3 linked regions of the Macaca mulatta genome follow. The protein of the gene in region 2 binds, or shares a complex with, the protein of the main gene of each other region. Links are inferred from orthologs where the notes say so. Each region holds a gene or a part of one and is shown on either strand. Other genes may lie near its edges. The genes, in order: STRN3, STRIP2 and PDCD10.

What was found.
Region 1: STRIP2 (region 2) and STRN3 share a complex: the UniProt entries of both Homo sapiens proteins name them as parts of the core of STRIPAK complex. The link is inferred for Macaca mulatta from reciprocal best matches to the Homo sapiens genes STRIP2 and STRN3.
Region 3: STRIP2 (region 2) and PDCD10 share a complex: the UniProt entries of both Homo sapiens proteins name them as parts of the core of STRIPAK complex. The link is inferred for Macaca mulatta from reciprocal best matches to the Homo sapiens genes STRIP2 and PDCD10.

What each region holds. Positions count from the first base shown.
Region 1 is NC_133412.1:104,025,281-104,028,935, forward strand, and holds part of STRN3 (striatin-3), read right to left. Parts: intron 963-3,655; coding exon 829-962; intron 1-828. UniProt on the Homo sapiens protein: Calmodulin-binding scaffolding protein which is the center of the striatin-interacting phosphatase and kinase (STRIPAK) complexes.
Region 2 is NC_133408.1:169,095,327-169,098,981, forward strand, and holds part of STRIP2 (striatin-interacting protein 2), read left to right. Parts: intron 1-972; coding exon 973-1,107; intron 1,108-2,589; coding exon 2,590-2,710; intron 2,711-3,512; coding exon 3,513-3,581; intron 3,582-3,655. UniProt on the Homo sapiens protein: Plays a role in the regulation of cell morphology and cytoskeletal organization. Required in the control of cell shape. Calmodulin-binding scaffolding protein which is the center of the striatin-interacting phosphatase and kinase (STRIPAK) complexes.
Region 3 is NC_133407.1:79,296,224-79,299,878, forward strand, and holds part of PDCD10 (programmed cell death protein 10), read right to left. Parts: intron 859-3,655; coding exon 780-858; intron 481-779; coding exon 398-480; intron 1-397. UniProt on the Homo sapiens protein: Promotes cell proliferation. Modulates apoptotic pathways. Increases mitogen-activated protein kinase activity and STK26 activity. Important for cell migration, and for normal structure and assembly of the Golgi complex.

The sequences.
Region 1 (3,655 bases), on a different chromosome or scaffold from region 2:
ATTGACAGAGGTTTATCTTTTTACCTTCACATTTCTCCATCTGTAAAGACAGGCTGTGAAACCACTTCTAAAGCAGTCAAAAGTTTACTGGAATTTAGTTGCTTATGTATTTAAAAAAAATATTAATGAGAATAATCCAGCCCACCAAAGGCTGTCTCTAAAAAGCATGCTAACGTTAACTATAAAATGTAGAAAAAGAAATTCACTATAAAAAGAAAAAAAATTGCTGAAAAACTGCAATTAACATAAAGATCTAACAGGTATAGTTAACTCTCAATTGAAATATTAATATCTAGAAAAATTAAATCCAAGACAAGTTTCACCTCTAACACTGGACTCCCTATCCCTTCCATCCACTCCCCATCCCTCTAATGGAGTTAAGTATTCAGGAAATGATGCAAGCTAACTTTAAAATGTTTAGAAACTTTAAAATATTTCCTTAAGAAAATAAAAGTTCAAAAATAAAACATGCTTTTTAAGAAGTATTCTGAAGGCAAATAAGTGATTCAGGTTATTTTTTTTCTTGTTAACACCAAAATATGGCTTAATTTGAGATAATTGAGAGTTGACTACTCAAGATGTATTTATTGACCAATATATTAATCATCTCAAACTTCTAGTTAATCCACCAAAATACCTAAAACAAAATTTAAATACCACAAAGAAAGTAGTTATAAAAGAAAAACTACATGTCACTTCAAATCAACACATTGACACAAACTTATCTCTTCCATGCACCTTGACATTAATTCTGTTTTATAAGTGATTCCAAAAAATAAGGAGCCTTCTATTAAATCATTAAAAAATTAAAAATAAAACTGCACTTACATCATAACTATAGTCTGCATCATTTGTTACCGTCAAGTCTGCAAGGTCTCCAAGGCCCAGTACACTTAACAAAACATCATCAGAACCCATAATAAATGACTTGCCTCCTCCAGATGGAAACGTTATTGGTTCAGCTATAAAGAACAAAACCGCTTCTTAAATGCTGAAAAATCATACAGTACAAGACAATATTGTGGGGAAAATTTAAGCACTTAACAGTTACAATATTCAGTAATATAATTAATTTTTATTTTCCCACTTCTACTCAAAAAATCCTGTTACTAAGCAGTGTTAAACAAATGTGTTGGAACTGTGGTGTAGTAACTGTCCACAAATAAAATGTGCACTAGATATATTATTCTGGGGTGGAAGTTGGGGCACAAAAGCTTTGTCTAAATCTCTTATCACTTCAGTACAATTATAACTATAGTTTACATGTTAAATAAGAAATAGGACAAATTTTGATTAAACAATGGAGTTAAGTATCAGATTTTTGCTATTCATGGGGGGAAATCTCTACCATGGACCTCAAGGACCTCAAAGTAGTCATACAGTATTTTTTAAATGTTAATAGGTTGTTGCTAAGTCCTTTTGCTTTCTAAAGAAGTACTAGGCATTCTAGTCCCTGATAAAAACTAGTACAAACACTGAAATGTAAATGGTTTACAGTCAGCTATATACTGTATCAGTTCACTAGAATGAAGCTTTAATTGTTCAGATTCCTTCAGTAACAGCAATGGTCTAGGAAAAAGTTCTTCCACCAACAACGTCAGTTTCCTTTCTATAAAGAGGTTAATCCATGTGGACTTCAGAACATCTTCCAGCTTTATTTAATTAATTAATTAATTTATTTATTTACAGAGTCTTGCTCTGTCACCCAGGCTGGAGTACAGTGGTGCGATCTTGGCTCACTGCAACCTCCACCTGCTGAGTTCAAGCAATTCTCCTGTCTTAGCCTCCAAGTAGCTGGGATTACAGGTGCCAGCCATCACGCCCAGCTAATTTTTTTGTTTTTAGGAGAGATAGGCTTTCACCTTGTTGGCCAGAATGGTCTTGAACTCTTGACTTCAAGTGATCCACCCACCTCGGTCTCCCAAAGTGCTGGGATTACAGGCGTGAGCCACCGCGTCCAGCCTGTCTTCCGGCTTTAAAGCTTTGACTATGATTTTTATTTTAATGTCCCATTCTAGTTACCATGACATTCTAAAATGAAGCAACTAATCTTGACCACAGAGTTTTAATTTCTGATCAGATGTGCCATTTCAATTTCAAACTAAACTCAGGTTGAGCTTCACTTAGATTTCTTGACTATATCATGTGCATTATTACAGCTTTTCATGTTAATATTAGCAGTTCGAATTATTTAAAATGTGTTTTCCTTTCTATACATACTATTAACCAATTAAACTCTGCCATAATTGAATAACTATTATCTAAATATTTTGTTGTAACAGTCATAGTTTAAGCAACAACCTTCAATATAATTTCAAATGCTTTGAAAGCAAAAACTTAACATTAAGGTAACAAGGGAGAAATACTCAAATCATTATAATATAAAACTCAATATATTAAAACACACTTAAAATTCATGAGCAAATTTAAAAGGGAAACATTATACAAAAAAAATTAAGCTGTTTGTCAATTTTTTAAAAATTCCCATGAAAAATGATATAAATATGCTACAGGAAACACAAGAGCTGTAATGAAACTTGACAGTCATCACTAATACTACTGGAAATAATTCTGAGAAGATATAATTCATATATGTATAGTATGGCAAAATAAAATTCATCTTTATTTAAAACATCTTGTTATTTTATTATTTTATCTATCAAAGTAAGCTATATAATCTGACTCAAATAGGGTTCTAAAATGCAGCTCTGATTCAGTTACTTGATCTAAAATGAATCTGAAAGCACCTGAAAGAAAATATATACATAGAGATCCTAACTAGTATTTAGTTAATCTTTCAATTATGACACTTATGAATCTGAATAATCTGTAGCATTGATCTTTTCCTACAAATTATTAGCATGCAGTTATTGGCAATACCAGAAGCAGCTATCAACTATAAAATCAATAATTTAAACTTATGTTTAAGGATAAGTACATAAAAGTCATTAGATAACATTTACTCAAAGCATTTTTCTCTAGACAAAGAAATATTTTTACTTTAAGCTCATAATTTGTTTCTAAAATGCCACAGTTCTTCCCACTCACAATTATACAAACATTCACTGACACAAAGCCCAATAAAATAACTTTAACGTAACAAATCATTTTGCAGGACTATCTCTGATCAGCCACTGACCAATTTAGGAGCATGTGAAGGTTAGTGTCTGGATGTTAGTTTTACTCGCGTTTTGGATTAATTGTACTTAACAAAAAATTAGTATTATACTCATTTCTAATTAATCATATGACCACATTTCTATCCTTTTCTCTATATACACACATATATTTCATGACATATTTATGTAGATATTGCAAACTATTCTGCTTACTCAGTATTTATTTACATATATATGTGTAAAACTTCTTTTACACTATTATCTCTGCTTTCCATATTACCCATCACTGTGGCATATGGTAATCCCAGCAGCTACTCATTTGTTTACCCTTATTTCCCTGCAGATGGAATTAATTTCTATCCTAAAAATTCATTTTATTAATGGTAATATAATTACCCATAGTATAAAAATGTCATTAGTAATTCAAAGAAAAATATAATTATTTTAACCAGCCTAAAAAATTAGTTTTGGTATCTTTTTTTTTTTTTTTTCTAATAGAGACAGGGTTTTGCTATGTTGCCCAGGCTGGTCTTGAA
Region 2 (3,655 bases):
TAACCATGTAGACTTTCCTTCTTGCTTATGGGATACAGGGTTCTCTGTGTCTCAAGTGGAGAGCAATGGAGTAGAAGCATGAGAAGCTGGTCCTGTGCTGCCTGATACAACCCTTGACCTTAATGTTTCACCCCATCTTCAACTTTGTCCTACTCTCAATAGTAATTTCATGTGCCCACACTGTGACATTCTCAGACATTCTCATCCATTTCCTTACTTGGTCAGTGGCAATTTGATTTTCAGTTCAACAAATGTGTGGTGAGTATTCTGTGTCAGATACTGGAGGCAGGAGTGAGAAGCAGCTTTTACAAAGAAGTTAGAGTTTGAGAGCAGAGGAATCATGTGCACATCACAAAACTAGCTGAGGCTCAAACAATCCTCCTGCCTCAGCCTCCCAAGTAACTAGGATTACAGGCATGTGCCACTATACCCAGCTTCTGCCCAAGGGCCTTCTCACGCAGCCTATACAGGGCAGCCAGAAAGTGCAGGGAATCAGTGTGCTCCTCTAGTTTAGCACCCTTCATCCAAGAGGAAAATGCTGTATCAGAAAAGTTTAAAAAGTGTTGGGGAAGCAGAGTATTTGGCCAGAGCATTAGTGAGAAAGGTCATTTTATATTGGGCATGTAAGAGTGGGAAAGAGGTCATTTTGTATTGGGCCTGTAAGGATGACTAGGAATTGAATATGTAGGGAGACAAAGGGAATTCCTTGAGGAAAGGCAGAGAGACAGGACAGTATGGGCTGTGTATGGAGAATAAAGGGGATGTTGAAGATGAGGCTATAGACTGGGTTCAGGCCAGAACATTTTGGGTCCTTTTCCCATCCCTTATTCTTTCTCAGTGAAATAAGGAAAGCTTTTGGAGAAAATAATCTTTTTGGGGGGAGCTGAGATCAGAGGTGGCTATGCTATGAGAAGCCTTTCCAGGAAAGGTGGCAATAGCTGACACTAGATGTATATGGCCTTTTATTCCCAGTGCAGGGCAAGGAATGGCTGGAGTTGGAAGAAGATGCCCAAAAGGCCTATATAATGGGACTCTTGGACCGGCTGGAGGTGGTCAGTAGGGAACGGCGGCTGAAGGTGGCCCGGGCTGTTCTCTACCTGGCCCAAGGTGAGTGACTACCCTTGCTAGCTTTAGAGGGGTGGAGGCTTGAGAGGGAAGTGGGCATTATCAGGACTGAGATGATGCAGGCTGTGCTAGGAAAGCAAGGTTTCTTGCCTCTCAAGGACAGATCTTGTCACGTGCTAGGAGTAACCTGTGCTTATGGGGAAGATGAGATAGTGTTGAGTGCTGTTCTAGATCCCTTGGGATCTGCCATTATCTTACCAGGCATGTCAGAATTTTTTATAGGGTTCTTCTTTTCCCTACCCTGTACTGTAATCATATGTGAATACTAGCAAGAGGGTCAGTGTGGCCAGAGCTGATGATGTACCACCAGCTGATCATGGAGACAAGACATCAACTGTGGCCTGGCCCCAAAACTGAGGAGAAATAGGAGAGTGTCACAGATACACATGGACCCCTTGCATTGTTTCTCACTGGCATTTTGAAAGTTCAAGCCAACATAGCTGCAGGAGTGGATGCTGTGAGTAATTTGGAGATGATCAGACCTAAATAGAGTAACTGGGGAAAGCTGGTCAGAAGAAACCTGTTAGCCAGGTGTTGGAAAGGGAAATGAGATAGCCTAGCTGGAGTGAAAATAAGCCTACGATCATAAATATGAGGCTTGTTAACAGAACCAACCAGTTGGGAGCTAAAAAAAAAATTCTAAAAAGAAATAATAAATAAAGAAGGGAAAGGGTAGACATTAGGTGAAGAGAAGACTAGCAAATAGGACTGTGCCCTCCTGTATCTCTAGGATCTGGTGCTCTGGCCAACTTCCAACTCCCAGTACCTTCATGTGTTTGCCCAAGGACTTTATTTATTTAATTTTTTTAAAAACAAAGTCTCACTATGTTTCCCTGGCTGGTCTTGAACTCATAGGCTTGAACTATCCTCCTGCTCCAGCCTCCCAAGTAGCTAGGATTACAGGCGTGTGCCACCATGCCCAGCTTCTGCCCAAGGGCCTTCTCTGCAGCCCATACAGGGCATCCAGGAAGTGTAGGGAATCAGTGTGCTCCTTTAGTTTAGCACCCTCATCCAGTGACTGACAGTAGTTAGTAGAGGGATAGCCTGACTGTCTCACCCCTCTTGGATAGAATAACTGTGAGTTGTGTGTTTTATACTGTTTCCAAAGTTATCCCCTGAGTGAACTCTTGGCTTCGTTTTCTTCCCTATCTCTACTGATGATTCCTGGGAATGATTCCCAAATAAGCTAATTGTACTGGAATCCTTACTTACCTCAGGATCTGCTTCTGGAAGAACCCACCCTTAAGATGACAGGCCATTGATGAGCACATTGGACCTAACCCTAGAGACTACCTCTCTTCTCCCCTGACTCATTCCAGGAAGTTCTTGGGGTCCCTGTCATACCTATGTCAGCCTAATTATTGGGCAGAGTATTATAGGAAAATCTTAAGATCATGGGGCAGGGTAGAAAGAACTGGGATACTGCCATCTCTCAACCCCTGTAACAACTGTCTGCTCCTTTAGGTACTTTTGGGGAATGTGATTCAGAGGTCGATGTGCTACACTGGTCCAGGTACAACTGCTTCCTGCTGTATCAGATGGGGACCTTCTCCACCTTCCTGGAGCTACTCCACATGGAAATTGAGTGAGAAGCCTTAGGGGAAGGGCTGGCCTACACAACCCCCATTCCTTAAAGGGGCCTCATATTCTATGCTGCTTCCCTTACTATAGAGAGCCCCTGTGAGGAACTGGGTCTACTCACACCTCAGCCCAAAGCTCATTGACAGTTTCCCTCCATCCAGCCATGTTCTCTGATATTCTGTTCTCCCTCCCTGAGGTTGGATACATCTGCAGCTTCTGCCTCACTTACAGCTTTAATCCTGGGCTTCAGGGGCCTATCCTGAGTGGGTTCTCTTTTTTATTCAAGGACTCTCTTAGCTCAGCCTAACTCTGTAATTCAAGAGGGAAACTGTTCTGAGTGCATGACCCAAGAAAGACAGGAAATCAATTCCTGTCACTGTCCCCAATTCTTTCCCTCATGGGCTATAGTTCTAGAGGTTGCCTTATTTGCTGCTACCACTACAGTGACCCCTTGTTTTGTCTCATGCCCATCACCCAGGAGTTTGAGATAGGGTGCAATCTGCTTATTATTCATCAGGTGTTTCTTAGCATCTGTTTTATGTCCAGCACAATACTAAGCATAGTGGGGAATGCAAGATGAGTGGATACCACAGATCCTGCCCTTGCCTTGTCTTCACCATATTACGATAAGAGAGTTTGCTGAGGTGGCAAGGGAATTCTGTCGGCTCCTTTACCCTAGACCAGTTTCATTAGTGGCTGCCTAGCCAGGGAATGGCAAGCACTCATGTTTGTGTGAGTGATAAGTAAGAGCACAGAGAGAAAAGAGGTCTTATGCATTCCTGTTCTTTTTCTCCTCCCCCTGGCAGCAACAGCCAGGCCTGTAGCAGTGCCCTTCGGAAACCAGCTGTCTCCATAGCTGATAGCACAGAGCTCAGGTGAGTGGGGCTAACTATGGGCTTGGAACAGGGCGGATGATTAGCACCTGGGTTACCTTTTCCCCAAATCCCAG
Region 3 (3,655 bases), on a different chromosome or scaffold from region 2:
ATATATGACAGGTAAAAATTATTTCAAGATACTGAAATTTGAATCTTGTATAAAGTTTTAGTAAAAAACAGTCACACCCTCTTGTCTGTATATTGTCTATGGCTTGTTTCTGTAGTACAACGGCAGAGATGAGGTGGATAACGGCCAACAGGCCCACCAAATCTAACATATTTACTATCTGGCTCTTTTCAGAAAGCATCTGGTAACTCCTGCTGTAGAAAGGAGTTATAGCCAGATTAGCAACCACATTCATTTCCTATTGTTAGTGGAATGCCTTGAATATCAGTTGCCTGGAGTACTAATAAAGTAAAAGGGCTTAATTTATATGGTTTTCATACCATATAAAACCACATAATCTATTTAATTTTAAAAGTAAAGGATAAATTACAGTACTTACTTGCCATCTTTAAAATACGTTTTCAGAGTATCACTGAAACTTTTGGAGTACTTTACAAATTCTTTCTTTTGGTGTTCAAGTGCCTACAGCCACAAAATACAGTAAGAAAAAAAAAGTACTGAATAAGAGAAATAATCACAACAGCCAAAGGCAAGGACAGGAGATTACACAGGATATGGGATGCACTTTATATGAATATTACTAATAAGCAATTGTGGAATATTTACTTTTAAATAAAAAGGCATATTTAAATCCAAGAATAACTCAATGGTTAATGACACAAAACTATTTCCAACAATCAATCCTATTTTCAAGTCAATAAAACAACTAGGCATAAACCAGCATCTAGGGTGTCAGCTAGCAAGGCTTCTACTAAACGTACCCTGCGGTTCTGGTATTGATATTTCTTGAAGACGTTATTCACTGTATCAAGAAGTTCTTTTATTGCACTAGCTATATCCCTGTTGGGAAAAGAATAAAGAGTATCAGCTGCATTTGAAAGAAATTTGTGAGAGAAAACATCAGTTACATTTGAAAGAAATTAAGTACACTCTTAATCTAATCACAGTACACTCTTAATTATGGTAAGTGCACTCACTTCATGAATAGCCAGCCTTTTTGGCTAGCTGGTTGGAGTTGGGGTTTTAGCCTGTACCCCTCTGTAATCCTGATTCTCTTGCACTGCTGACCAAAGGTTGCCAACCAAAACCAACTTTCTCAAATCAATCACATTTCATTAAGCATTCCTTACTCAAATTTAGAAAAGGATAAACATTACCTATGTCTGTCTTTCCCCATTTTAAATTTTTCCTCTGCTCTAATGTAGCTAAATTCAAGCTACCACGTTCTCCACTTTTGTTATTTGAACAATGAACAATTTTATGATATTCTGCATGACATATAACTCAATTCTGTATTTAACGACGCTGTATGCTAGATACCTATTAGTTTTGATGTTTAACATAAAATATTTCCTCCTCAGAAAATACTCCTCTCCCCTGAGGAAATACTCCTCCTCCTTTACTCTTTTATAGACACTTTTAGCTTCTATCTAGCAACCAAATATCCTCCTCTTTCAAACACTTGCTGTCAGCCACTATTCCCTTTGGAAAATATAATATTTAAATTACTGGGGGAGACATCACCACAATATTCTTCCACTTTAACCTTTCTGGCAATCATCCTTTGACTATATATGCATCATCACCTCCCTCCCCTTTCAAAAGAAACAAAAGGAAGAAATCAATAATTCTCATTTGAGTGTTCTTCCTATCCACGCACCATTTTTTTCTGAATTTGTTTTATTTTTGCCTTTCTGTCTAGCCCCTTTTGATTTCCACATTTTAACCTCATGGCAATTTTTTTCTATCAAATTGAACTTTATGTAATTCTGCATTCTCAAACAGTCTCATTCTCTACGACAAACCTTTTTCAAAACCATTCTCTTAGCTGTTAGTCACAACAAAAACTTCAAATGCAATGCAACTGTGAAGAAATGAATAAGATAGAAATCTGCACCATCCTAAACATAACATTTTATTACTAATACTAATTATAAATGCCAGATTTCAGTTATTTCCTATCTAAAACATTTCAACATTCCTATTTCAAGGGGAAAAAATCCTCAGTGTCCAGGTTTCTGTGTGCATGTGGGTGTTTCCCAGCATGTTTTTCAGTAAATAAGCATGTAGAAATTTTAAGAATTAAAAGCATACAGAATTTTGATATTTTAAAAAAAGTATTTTAGAGTACTCCGAAGTAGTAATTACATTTTCATTAATTATTTCAATAATACTTTACTTATTACCTCTCTCAGGTCAAACACTGGTATTAGGCTGAAACACTGAAATATTACATATTCAAGTAGGACAATAAGTCTTACATAAATGCTATCTAATTTTTTTTTTTTTTTGCCTCTGGTTTAGTAATAGCAGTTTTTAATTAGATAACTATTCCTTTCATTTATGGCTTAAGCAAGTTGAATCTTTGTATACTGGTGTGATGGACATAAACCCACCATTGTTTAATAAAATGCTGTCATAGGACTATTCTGTGAGAAAAATTACAATTTCAATAAACAAAAAATGTCAAATCTCCAAATATGCAAGCTTCTCCAAATCCACAATGGAGTTACTTAAAATGGAATATAATGGAGCAAATTACATAGTGATCAGACAGAAGTTTATACAGTCTCACTTTGTAGTGTATTTCAATATTCCACTGAAGAGGAATAAAACGTGTTTCCAGGGCTAGTCATCAAGATGAACATAAGTTTGATATGCAACAACAATGCCTGGATTCTACAAGTCAAAAGAGTGGGTCTGAAAAATGCTGCCTCATGCACCTAGGGAGACAGAAAGACGAGAGGAGAAGGGAGGGTTTTGCTGGACAAAAAAAGACAGACATGCTGATAAATACTGGAAATCTCTACTTTAAAAGGGGGTGTGAGGAGGCGCAACTCCTCAGGTGACTGCTGATGAGGCAGGTTTGAAAACTTGCAGCTAAGGTTTAACGCCTTATTGGAACACAGCTCTCTGTCAGCCAAGGCTGTTTATTCCTAAGCCTGGCCTTCTGTTTGGACATGAGGCAAAAGACTGTTAAATGCCTACCAAATTGTAGAAAAAATGTTCTCTAGAAACAATCTGCAGAATGTATGTCAAATATTATGTTATCCATATGTACACAGAAAAGTATTTTCATTTATGGCACCAAGGTGTGCACATAAGGAAGCTAAATTATCTTAGTAATTACCAGAGAGTTTGTTTCCTATAAGAGAAAATACTGTCACAAAAAAACCACTACAGACAATTAACCAGATAAAGAACTGAGAAAAAACTTGAGGGTAAAATAAATATCACATAACTAATGAATGCGGCTTGGTGCAGATGAATTCTGTGATAAGAGGCAGATAGTATGAGCAGGAGGAACTTAGCACCAACCTAATAGTTAGGGCAGCTGTGCAAAACATACACTGAAAGACAAAGCCTTCAGATGAAACGTAAACAGACATCTTATCAAAAAACTGCATGGAAAAGTAGTTTCTAATCATGCCACCCAAATGTGCATGATACGTGTTTATGCAAATCCGCTAATGAAAGGGAATCCCTGTGCTTTGAGTTGAGTTTGGTTTAGACTGGAAAACTCTGAAAAAATCTATTCTGGACCCTTCATGAAAATCCTAACTTAAAACAAATAAACCTTACTGAATTTTCACCTAAGAATATGCAAATGTAGATTACAAACAGTAAATAAATGCCT